Ovis aries: one gene and its partner. Each later gene encodes a partner of the first gene's protein in a complex. Links are inferred from orthologs where the notes say so. Each region holds a gene or a part of one and is shown on either strand. Other genes may lie near its edges.

Region 1 (6,154 bases):
AGTCCCTGAGACCTGCTAAGGTCGCTTCTTTAACCCCGAGACCTTGAGGATGACTAGAGCTGAACATGCACGTGTGTGATGTGAGCAGAGCAAAATGGGTTTGATCCTGTAATGTGTTTTTCACAACAACTCAGTGGATAACCGGCCCCTACTCTCTTTCCTCTAACCAGCTCCCCCTTCTTTTTGTTACCTCCTTTTCTTTCTCATTCAACTTCTCTGTGCCAGGGAGGCCAGTGAGGTTCAAGGGCGGTGCACTTCGTCTACCTATAGATACAGACAGAAAAAGGTATGTATTTTGCAGGAGACAGTACCTCAGGAGTAAAAAGTGTAACAAAGTTCACCATGGTCAGGCCTGTCAGGTACAAAACCACTATACATCGGGTACCCCAAAGTTCACTTGAAAACAAAACCAGTAAGTCAAGGACTTCCCTAGCGGCGCCATGGATAATACTGTGCCTGCCGACGCAGGGGACACAGGTCCGCTCCCTGGCTGGGGAAGAGTCCACGTGCTGCAGAGTAAGTCCTTGACAACCACGGAGTCTATGTGCTGCAACTACTGAAGCCCTTGTGCCCAGAGCCTGTGCTCTGCAACGAGACGCCACCACGAGGAGAGGCCCACGCACTGCGATGAAGAGTAGCCCTACTCGCTGCAATTAAGAAAGCAAGCCCACACGAGAGTAACAAAGACCCTGCACGGCCAAAAATAAGATAAAGAAAGAAAGAACTTTTTTAAAAAAAAAGGTAAGTCAAGTGTCCTTTGCCTTGATAAAATGCACATATAATCACACATACCTCAGAGTCAAATAAGATTATTCTTCCTAATCCAGCAGAAGATTCTAAAATCTACAGCCCAGATGTCATCTGGTTAAGAAAGGTCACATGCCACCTGTCTTGACAGCTGATGAATGGAAATAACAACTCTGCAGGAGAGACAGTCCCGAACACCGGCCATTCTGCCAGCAGGCAAACATGGTAATTACCCAGGCACCATTCACCTTGAGATCAAAGGCAGAGTCAGGCCAGCAAAGGGCCTTCATTATGTATTATTTGAGAGAATATCTGTTCCTCCCAAAGTAGCCCTGTTTACCTGAAAGACCCACACAGAGGAACAATGAGCCAGTATACGGCAAAGCAGAGGCTGAGGCGAACTCACATACCTTGAGAAAGAGACCCAAGCACGAGGTCACTGCCCAGGAGGGGAAGCCTGATATGCGCAACTCTGGGGATTTGTTTTGAATGTAAACTTGAGTGAATGGACTGTGTTAAGCAAAAGAAAATGTAGAATACTACGTTACACTTCGTGGGGGCAGGGTGCTGCTTAGCTGGTGGAGAGCAGGGGGAGGGGCTATTACAGCTCGCTCTGCAAGGAAACAGACTTCCCTTTAGTATCAACAGAGGGAGCGGGAGCTGCTCCGCAGTCCTAGGCCTAGCCTGACCCTAAATGCCCTGAAACGGAGATTATGATCACTCAAATGCCTCACCAGTTCCGAGAGGCTATGTTATGATCAGTGATTCAGGTTTCCAACTCTGCACTGCCTTAGGAGCAACTCAGAGTGTGAAAAGGAGCAAAGAGTCATCTCAGCCTAAACACTTAGGAGCTGAGGGAAGCTGATGCCCGCCAGGGAAGCAACCAAGAGTGAGTGCAAATGGTTCAGAAAACACAAATACCAAAGAAGCTAGGTCAAGTACATTCATTCACTTTAATCAGCCAACATTAAATTTTCTTATTTCTGTATTTAGACTGCGGGAGGATTTGGATGTGAGAAACTTATCCAGTCTGTAAACAGGGGAGTGGTCTCTACGTTCTGATCAGAGGAAGTGGCTAACCTACCATATGGAGCAGGGATGAATAATAACCAAGAAAACAGGCAAACGAACACCATGATCTTAGATCAGCATCTACAACTAATACCACCCCACACTACCCTTTATTAATTACCAAGCAGCAAGGATTATCAGATATCATATGGCTTAATCGTGCCCTGTAAACTGACCTCAAAATAGGACATGCCAGAAGAGACAGGAAAGAGAAATACTTTTAAGTCTCCGACTTATAAAGAAAGTCTTACTATTCTGGCAAGTAACGTGTCTCCTTGCTTATACAGGACACAAAGCCTTTAAATTATCCCCTGTGAGACAATCTTTAAGTCTGTGGTAGATAAAATCATAGTAAACAAACTGTCTGTGAACATTGGTAAAACAGAAAAAACACCTGTCTGAGGTCCTCTCCTTCTGCCTTTGTAGTGTAAACCCGAGGAAAGTTCCTGTTTGGCCATGAAGATTCTATCAACTTGCTGATGTTTATGAATCTGTATAATAATCACCAATCCTTTGCCTAAGCACCTGGCTCCCACAAAGGCGGGAGGGTTTGTTGGGTCACTATAATTCCCAGGATGAAAACTCCACAATTGTGACTTGCTCCAGCCTGAAAAACAATTACCTGAATTCGAAGTCATGGGAACAGAAGGACTCAGGCCAGAATCACTACAAAAAAGAAGAGGAATTTAAACTTACGTCACATCAAAGAAAGAGATTCCCAAAGCCCACGAGAGACTGGGTGACATTTATCAGGTCAGCTACTTAGAAGAGAAGTAATGAGACAGACTAGACTATGTTTTTACAGGCTATCCCAACTGCACACAACTCAGGAAAGGAAATCTGTTCCAGGGAAGGAAATTGCCTAGATTTGTTAAGAGGTCCTGGTGTGGCACATCACAGAGACCATTCATGAGCAAAAAGCAGGAATTTGATCTTCCAGTGAAAATCACATCAGTAGATACAGAAGAAGGTGTGGCAAGGGAATACACTAATCTTAAAAAATAAGGTCAAAGTAGCAAAGTGGGATTCTAGGAGGCCAGTTACATTTCTCAAAACTGTCAGTACTGTACTGTTTGAGACAGCCTGCTCAAGCTTTCTGAATTCTTCTAGCTACCTAATTATTACAGCTCTGCCATTTAGGGTAGGGCACCCACGGGACTGTCTGAAAATACAGGTAAAGGCCGAAAGCTCCGTGAAGCTGTCCCCCGGACTAATTCCTCACATGTCAGCCTGCCGGCGGAGCCACTGCTGGCAGGCGCTGCTGTCCTGGATGTACTGGAGGACCTCAGAGAGCATGGTGCGTTTGAGGCGTTCCTCTTCTCGAGTCTTCTTGAGGTGATCGTAGGTTCTGGCACCTGTAGGTGTTAAAAAAGTGACTACAATGACAAGGTAGCAGGACTAACCAAAGGGCTGCCAAACTCATCAACAAACAGTTCATCTTTTTTAATTTTTAATTTTTGCGGCCTTGCTATGAGGCTCGTGGCATCCTAGTTCCTCAACCAGGGATCAAACCCAGGCCCATGGCAGTGAAAGCACAGAGCCCTAACCATTGGACCCCAGGGGATTCCCAGTCGTTTTTTAATTTGCTTTGAAAAACTGCTTCCAGAATTATTTTTCTAAGAGCAAAGTGATTTCCCCTAGTTTGAAATCTCTTTCTTGATAAGAAATGAAAATGTGTTTATTCCTTTTCTACCTTTAAGAAATTTGAGAGAGGGAATCCCCAAAACAGAAAAGTACAAAGAAAGTTGGAGTTGCTCCTATTTCCATCCCCTAAAAGTAACTTAATACTGTTATATTTACTTCCTGCTCTATTTTTTCTATCCATATATTTTTCCAAGTCACACAAATGCTATACACATACACTGTTCCTTAAAAACCAGTTAGGATTACAAATAAAAATAAATCCTCATTGACTATTACTATTCTGGTCACCTCTTTCCTGGAGACAGCCAGCATCAGGCAACCCAAATCTGGCATCAGAGTCTTTACACGCATCTTGCTAACAGCTGCATAGTGTTTTCCACACTATTAATGTATAAAAATGCAAAATATCAAACCAGTGGGTTTCAAGCCAAGTTCCACAGAGGCCCAGGTTACCATGAAAACATCTCAGGGATTACTGTGAACGTACCGGTGGTCCTGGGCTCCACACATGATCTGAATCATCAGACTTCAACCTAAGGAGTTCCACTTTTATTTATGGGTTAGTGCTCCACATAAAATTTCATTTTGTAAACAGTTTCCAATGTTAGAAATAAAGAGCCATTTTGCTGGGCTGAACTTGAGCACTGGGTGAACGGGTGATAGCTTTCAATCAACAGGAAGGAGGGAATGCTGAAGACCATCCCCAAAACAAAAACAAAACGACAGAAACTGCCACTTACTGAGGACGTGGTGCGTCAGGTACTATACTATGTTTTCATGCATTATCTCTAATTTAATCTCCACATGAGCTCTAAGAGACTTGGAAAATTGAAAACAAATAGAATTACAGATTTGGTAAAAGAGCCAGAATCCAAACCCGAGCTGTCCAAGCCTAGACTTCAGCTCTTAACTGCTAACACAACTGTCTTCTCTTACAACCTGGCTCTACTACAACTAGTTAATCACTTTCATCCTTAGTTTCTCTATTAAATGAGAATAACAATACCCATCTCTTAAGGTGAAAGTGAAGTCGCTCAGTCATGTCTGACTCTTTGCTACCCCATGGACTGTAGCCCACCAGGCTCCTCTGTCCATGGGATTTTCCAGGCAAGAATACTGGAGTGGGCTGCCACTGCTTTCTCCAGGGGATCTTCCCAACCCAAGGATTGAACCCAGGTCTCTAACATTGTAGGCAGATGCTTTACCGTCTGAGCCACCAGAGAAGTCCCTCTCTTAAGCTGGTGAAGTAGAAAGGGTACAGTTCAATACATGGTGAATGGTTAGGTGCCATGAATATAATCATCTCTAACTCGAGTAACTGGGATGCAAGTGCCTAGAACCAACTGAAGTGTGCTTAATGGGAATGATCAGATCATCACTAAATTTAAAAAGGCTGAGGCTAAAAGTTGGAATACAAAATCTTTCTTTTTAAGAGGCCACAACAGAATCCTAAATCGAAAGTAGCAACTCTGTCATACTTTTTATTTCACCTCAGATAATCCATATAATGGTATTTATAAGGATTAAATAGATGAAGCTTTTTGGAAAGATCAAAAACTCATTCTGAAATGTGAAAGCTTGTTTATATGTTTGGAAGGCACCTGCCCTCTGATTTAGTGTGGAGCATAAACATACTTACTACAAAAATTGGTAATGCCTGCCGTCCTGTATTCCTGGAGCCTTTTGATTTCCCTTCGGAGTTCAAATTCCACTGTTTATCCCCCCAAAAAAGACAGAGAAAAATCAGAAAAACAAAATCAACACCAATGAGCACTTTTACTGCTATTTTCAGTAATTCTGCCTTCTATAATAGACCAGGCAATTCCATTTGGGGAATCCTAATTGTTGCTAATATCTCATTAGAAATTTTACTTAAGAGCTGACAAAAATGTACTGCAGTGGTCTTTTGGCTTCTGTCTCCAGTTGCAGAAAGCAGCTGGAATTGTTTCTTAGAAAACTTCATAGTGACCTGGCTGAATTCATTTAGCTACAGTAGTAATGAATATAATTTCTTAAACCACCAAGTTTCCCTGCTCTATTTATTCCTTGTTAAAAGCTCTAGCCACAAAGCCAAATTTCAGTATGAAACCTGTCTCTGGTATTACATGACACAGACCTTTTTGCAAGGGAAGGACAAAATTTTGTGCTCAAGTTCCCGATGGTTTCTTTACAGCTTTTCTCTTACAGGGACAAAAGAGCAGTGTGTTTTCCATAAACCAAGATTTCTGCCTCCTCTGAGCACACAGATCAGGTTGCACTGCTCAGATTATTATGTGATGGAATGTTCAAATCTGGGTGCTTTGAAAAAGAGGATGAAGGAAGAACCTGGACAATCCATGGGGTGTAGTTCCCTGGAGTGACACATAAACCAGGGATGGTACAAACTGGGACAGGAAGTAAAGATCAGCCACCCAGGATAAATCACACAAAGAATGCCAACTAAACAGGGTGTCTGTGAGGACAACCAAGCCAGTTCAGATAAATGCCTGCAATGTCATGCAAGAAATATCTGCACAAAGAGAACAGGATACAAGCCTTCATGAAGTTCTTTCCTGAGCTAAATTTGGGAGTCAAAATCAAATACCTGAATCTCACGATGAAAGGCACAGACTCAGCCCCTCAGTCCAGACTGTTTCATAGTCCAGGCGTTACTGCCTTAACAACTTCAATTTTTTATAGTGAGAAATCAAAT
Region 2 (4,859 bases), on another chromosome or scaffold:
ATAAAACCTTTCAAACAGCTAAAGAGTAGTGAGAAAACTGCTCCCTCTTGAGGAGTATTAACTTTACTAAGTTTAACTTCATGTATTAATATAATTTCATAAGTACCTTTAGACTTAAAATTTATATAGCTCAGCTCCTTCTTACTAGTGTGACTGAGCAACCCGGTCATCCATACGTTATCTTCATTTCCTAAAGGAACTTTAAAACAATCTCTTCACCTGTGGTAAACATTTACCTTTTTAAGTTAGCATCTGATTTCTGTACAACCAAAATTAAAACCATTTTGCAATACACTCTATTATTAAACAGAAGAAAATTCTGCTGTCTTAGTTTCCAAATAAACCTGTGAAATAATTAAACTGCGTTCTTAATGTTATCCATTAAAAAAAAAATCATTAAAATCCTAAAAAAATTAACTTCTTCTAGGTAGTTACCTTGATTACAGTCAATAACATTGCAAAATTCCCTGACGTTGTTTTCATTGATTTCAGCTTGCTTTCTTTCAATAAATGCAGATATTCGTCTGTCAATCTGCAAACAATAAGTATATGCATCTTAATTCAAACATAGGAAAATTTTAAAAAATACTCCCTTGGCCCCCCAGAACCCAACTTCTTACTTCTGCTTTTCCAGCCTTTATCTGAACTACTTCTGGATCAAAATGGATCTGTGTCTTTTTCACATCTCCTAAATCACCGTCTTTGTGCTTTTCTTCCTCTTCCAGGTCTCCAGTGGGAAAGTTGGCATTTACTTCATTCTTGTTCCCTGTTTCTGTTTTTCCTATTTCTTCAACAACAGTTGTATTCTCCTCTTTAATCAGAGGCTGAAGTTTTGCTAAAAAAGGCTGAGAAGAACACAATTCCATCTGCTGAGGTTCAAACTGATCAAAATTAATCACATTTACCATATTTATATAAATTTCAGCTAAGTAAAAGCAATATTCAGTATCAATTAACTAAATATAAAAGGTTGGCATCATACATAGATCTGACCACATGTAAGTGTTTTTGCTGTTCTCTATTATTGTGACCAATATCATTTGCTATAAATCTATTTAAAGAAAAAAGGAAAGAGAAAGAAAACCTGAGGAAATTTAAAATTTTCTTTGAGGGAATCATTCTGTCACTCATCTTTTATTTTGTGCCAAATCAAAGCCTCAGCCTCTGGCACCAATGCCACTTAATTAACATGTCATTCAAATGCCTCCTCAGAACACTAAGGCTTAGTATTTTTCCTCCTTAACACAAGAGCCAGTGCTCTCACTCAGCAAAGCCCTGCATTAGCACTGTATCACTGGAGATTCTCCACTTGAAACTGCAGTTGGCCAAAGTGAATGAGAGAGCATAGACATGAAATATATAGGTGTTATGCTGAGTGAACACTCAGGCTTTTCCTGACATGACAAGATATCTTCTTGGGTCATGAATTTAAATTTTTAAAAAGAAAATGAACAAGGAAAAAAGAAAAACATTACCAAGAGCCATAGCTGAAAGAGGTAGATGCCTACAATACTAGTGGGGAATACAACTCTATCATGTAAATTATACTACAATCCCCTCCAACACACTCACACAAAATTAGGCCTCAACTGAGTCCTATAGCTCATTGCTTCCACCCTTCAAAACTATGGTTAACTATTACTTTTAACATGAAACAGTTAAAATTTCCCCAAAAGTCACTGAATAAAGGGCTGAAAATTGTCTACTCTACTAATCAAAACATACCAACACTTGTCAAAGTTCCAATTATTTTTTCATACCTACAATTTTGCTTCCTTTGTCTGCTATACCAAAAATTCTTCTGAATCCTTATAATATCTTAATGGCACTAAACTGACCAATCCAAACCTTTATGACACTTCATATTTTATACTTTGATTAGAGATAAACTGTAAACATCTATCAATAATAACTGCAAATATGTTCAGCTGGAAACTAGTAAGGTCATAATACTGTTTGGTTATTGAACTGAAATATTTTTTAAAATATAGCAATACTATTATAGATTAACAATTCAGTGTTGACTTTTAATATAAAGAATGAATTATTTTAAACTCTTAAGATCATAAAATAGTGACTGGCTACTTACTAATATGAGACATTAATGTCACAGAAATTACTTTCTTTTTAAAAACTATGCTGAAACTGTTTAATTGCAATAGACACTCCAGGATGTGTCATGCTGGGATAATGCCACTTCTTGAACCACTGAAAGCACTCCATGAGCCTCCAAACTCACCCAAGGCATGGAATCATTATCATAGCATGACACACACCTGCCGTGTCTTATTGCTTAATTATAACCCACCATAGATGCAACTGTATTGAATTTTCAGTGCAAGTCTGGAATCGAATAGAACTGCATTCATTCAGTTGTCACACCCACAGCAGCCCATTCGGCTATATTCCTGTAACTGTCCTGATCACTATGTAAATTAAAGATTTAGATCCAATCTGGCTGAAGTAACCTTTTATTAATAACAGTATTAATAAGGTGTTAAGACAGAACCTACAAATACTCCAGTGTACAATTTAGCTACAATTAATTTCTAGTCTCAGTATCGAGTTAACATTTTTAACAAGAAATTTACCTGTAAATATAAAACGTGTTGCTCAAGTGCACTAAAGAGAAAAGCGGGCTGGAATGCCGAGAGGCTCTGGAGCTTGTTCCAATCGATTGTAATTTTCACCACATCATCTCTGAGGTTAAGCTTTAAAGGGGCAAACCAGCAATATCACAAAAATTACATGATTAAGCTGTACATATGGGATTGTCACAAAAATAAGATTTCTATAGAATAACATGCCATTTAGATCAAAGTTCTCAAGTTTTTAATGATACATAAAAGTGCTCTACCTAGTTACCACTCCAAAAAGGCAAGAAAGGTCCAGTTCTCAGAAAAAAGCAGATGACATCTCTAATTCTTTTCTTGGGTCTGTGTAATGGGACCATCTCACAGGTAAAACTATCCAGGAAAGATGAAAAGATGAGGCTTTTTTTTTTTTTTTTAATAATTCAGTATCTGAAAACTTTTGGATAGGGGCCAACAAATGCTTGCCCTATTCAAAATCCTACTGCTTCTAGCTAAGAACATTAAATACAGGGGGAGGTACATTTATGAAAGTTCTGATTTCATAATTTCTGCATTTGTTTTTGTTAAATATGCACATAAATATGTAACAAATATATCATTCCTCTGATGTCTTCCGAATCACATTTTCATTGTTTTCAATTTTAACCAATTTTTTAAATTTAAAAATCAACTCATATATTCATATTCATATATATTATAAAGTCTGCAGCTACATGGCAGCATATGTTTACTTCAAATAAAAATTAAACTATTATTTAGCTGTGGAAATCTGAAATTTAAAAACAAATGTTTTTCCACAATAGTGAAATAAACAGCCAAAGACTGGATGGAAAGGTCAGACTCACTGCTAAACAGTATTTTCTAGTACAATGTAAGAGTTCATGAAAATTTCTCCTAAATTGGCTATGTATGGCCTATTACGATAAAGTTATACATAGAAAACTACCACAAACCTGAATATAAAATTAATACCAAGATGAGTCAACATTTCAGAGGGAAAGCCTCCATTTTTAGTATTTCAAGTGAATAAAAGTGAATCACTGTAAACATTTTTAGGGACACGTGTGTTATGGCATATATCCTGCATCACAGGATCAAGTTAACTCTTATTTTTTCAGAAATCATTTATTTAAAATTAGTCATGTTTTCTACAAAATAAGGACAAGTGTTCTATTAGTTAAGATCTTATGAACTGTGATTATAATAAAACAAAAAAAATGAATCACTGTACCAAAGAGATCCAAAGTTCCCCAAAAGGCACTATATGTATGAATGCTGTATGACAGAAATTTACCACCCTTTGACCAGAAATATTTAAAGTCCATATTAGACAAGTGTAAAGAAGTTTTGTGTAGGATGCACTGGCAAAAATTAGTTTGTTATTTTAACTAAATTAGTTTGTTATTTTATATTAAGAAAATCATATTAATCTTAATTTCTATTTTTTAGTGCTTATAAATGTTTCAACAGCTTATGCATGGAAGTAACCCATCACTATACTTTTACAGTTCTAAAGGAATCTATAATTGATTATAACAAACTTACAAATACAGTTTGGGGATAACGCAGGCAAATCCTCAACCAAAGCAAAGCATCAAATTTTCTAGAAAATAACTTATAGAAATTAAATTGAATGTCTGGATTATATTCTCATTTCAATTTAGCAGAATTATATAAACTTTCAAGTGCAAGATACTTGGTCTTTGAAGAAACCACATAACAATGCCACAAATTAACTTTAAAACTATCCCCAATACATCCAACTATTATTCAACAAATTCCCTATTAGTAATATATGAATTCTGTGCATTTTTACCTATAGAACTTGTAAACCATTCAGTCAAAAAGGTATTAGTCTGTCATTAATATGAACTATTTAAAATACACATTTCAGTAAAAACTTTATTACACTAATATAAAAATCCAAGTTAACAATAAATATTTCTTCAGCTTGGTAAAATGCAGCAACCAGAGGCAAAATCAGTATTCAATAAATTCAAAATCTGGGCTAGGAAAATTTTAACATCTGATTCTATGTTTCCTATTGAGGAGAGCTAATAACACAATGATACTATATAGAAGGAACTAGGCATTTTACAACATAGATTTTTTTAAATTTCTTAATCTTGTTTCAAAGGGAAATAGTTATTTCCACCAGGAACAATTTTATAAGTATAGTATTCTGGCTTTCAGTATCTTTAACAGTACATCTCAAAATATAAAGAGTATCACCAAATTGGCTAGCATTTAATTGATGAGATAATC

Evidence for each region. The genes of interacting proteins can lie anywhere in the genome.
Region 2: TADA2A (region 1) and MBIP share a complex: the UniProt entries of both Homo sapiens proteins name them as parts of the ADA2A-containing complex. The link is inferred for Ovis aries from reciprocal best matches to the Homo sapiens genes TADA2A and MBIP.

Annotation. Positions count from the first base shown.
Region 1 is NC_056064.1:13,461,559-13,467,712, reverse strand, and holds part of TADA2A (transcriptional adapter 2-alpha), read right to left. Parts: intron 5,174-6,154; coding exon 5,102-5,173; intron 3,174-5,101; coding exon 3,041-3,173; intron 2,485-3,040; coding exon 2,118-2,484; 3' UTR 265-2,117; coding exon of another isoform or gene 191-264; 3' UTR 1-190. UniProt on the Homo sapiens protein: Component of the ATAC complex, a complex with histone acetyltransferase activity on histones H3 and H4. Required for the function of some acidic activation domains, which activate transcription from a distant site. Binds double-stranded DNA.
Region 2 is NC_056071.1:44,236,245-44,241,103, forward strand, and holds part of MBIP (MAP3K12-binding inhibitory protein 1), read right to left. Parts: intron 2,712-4,859; coding exon 2,592-2,711; intron 846-2,591; coding exon 621-845; intron 533-620; coding exon 436-532; intron 1-435. UniProt on the Homo sapiens protein: Inhibits the MAP3K12 activity to induce the activation of the JNK/SAPK pathway. Component of the ATAC complex, a complex with histone acetyltransferase activity on histones H3 and H4.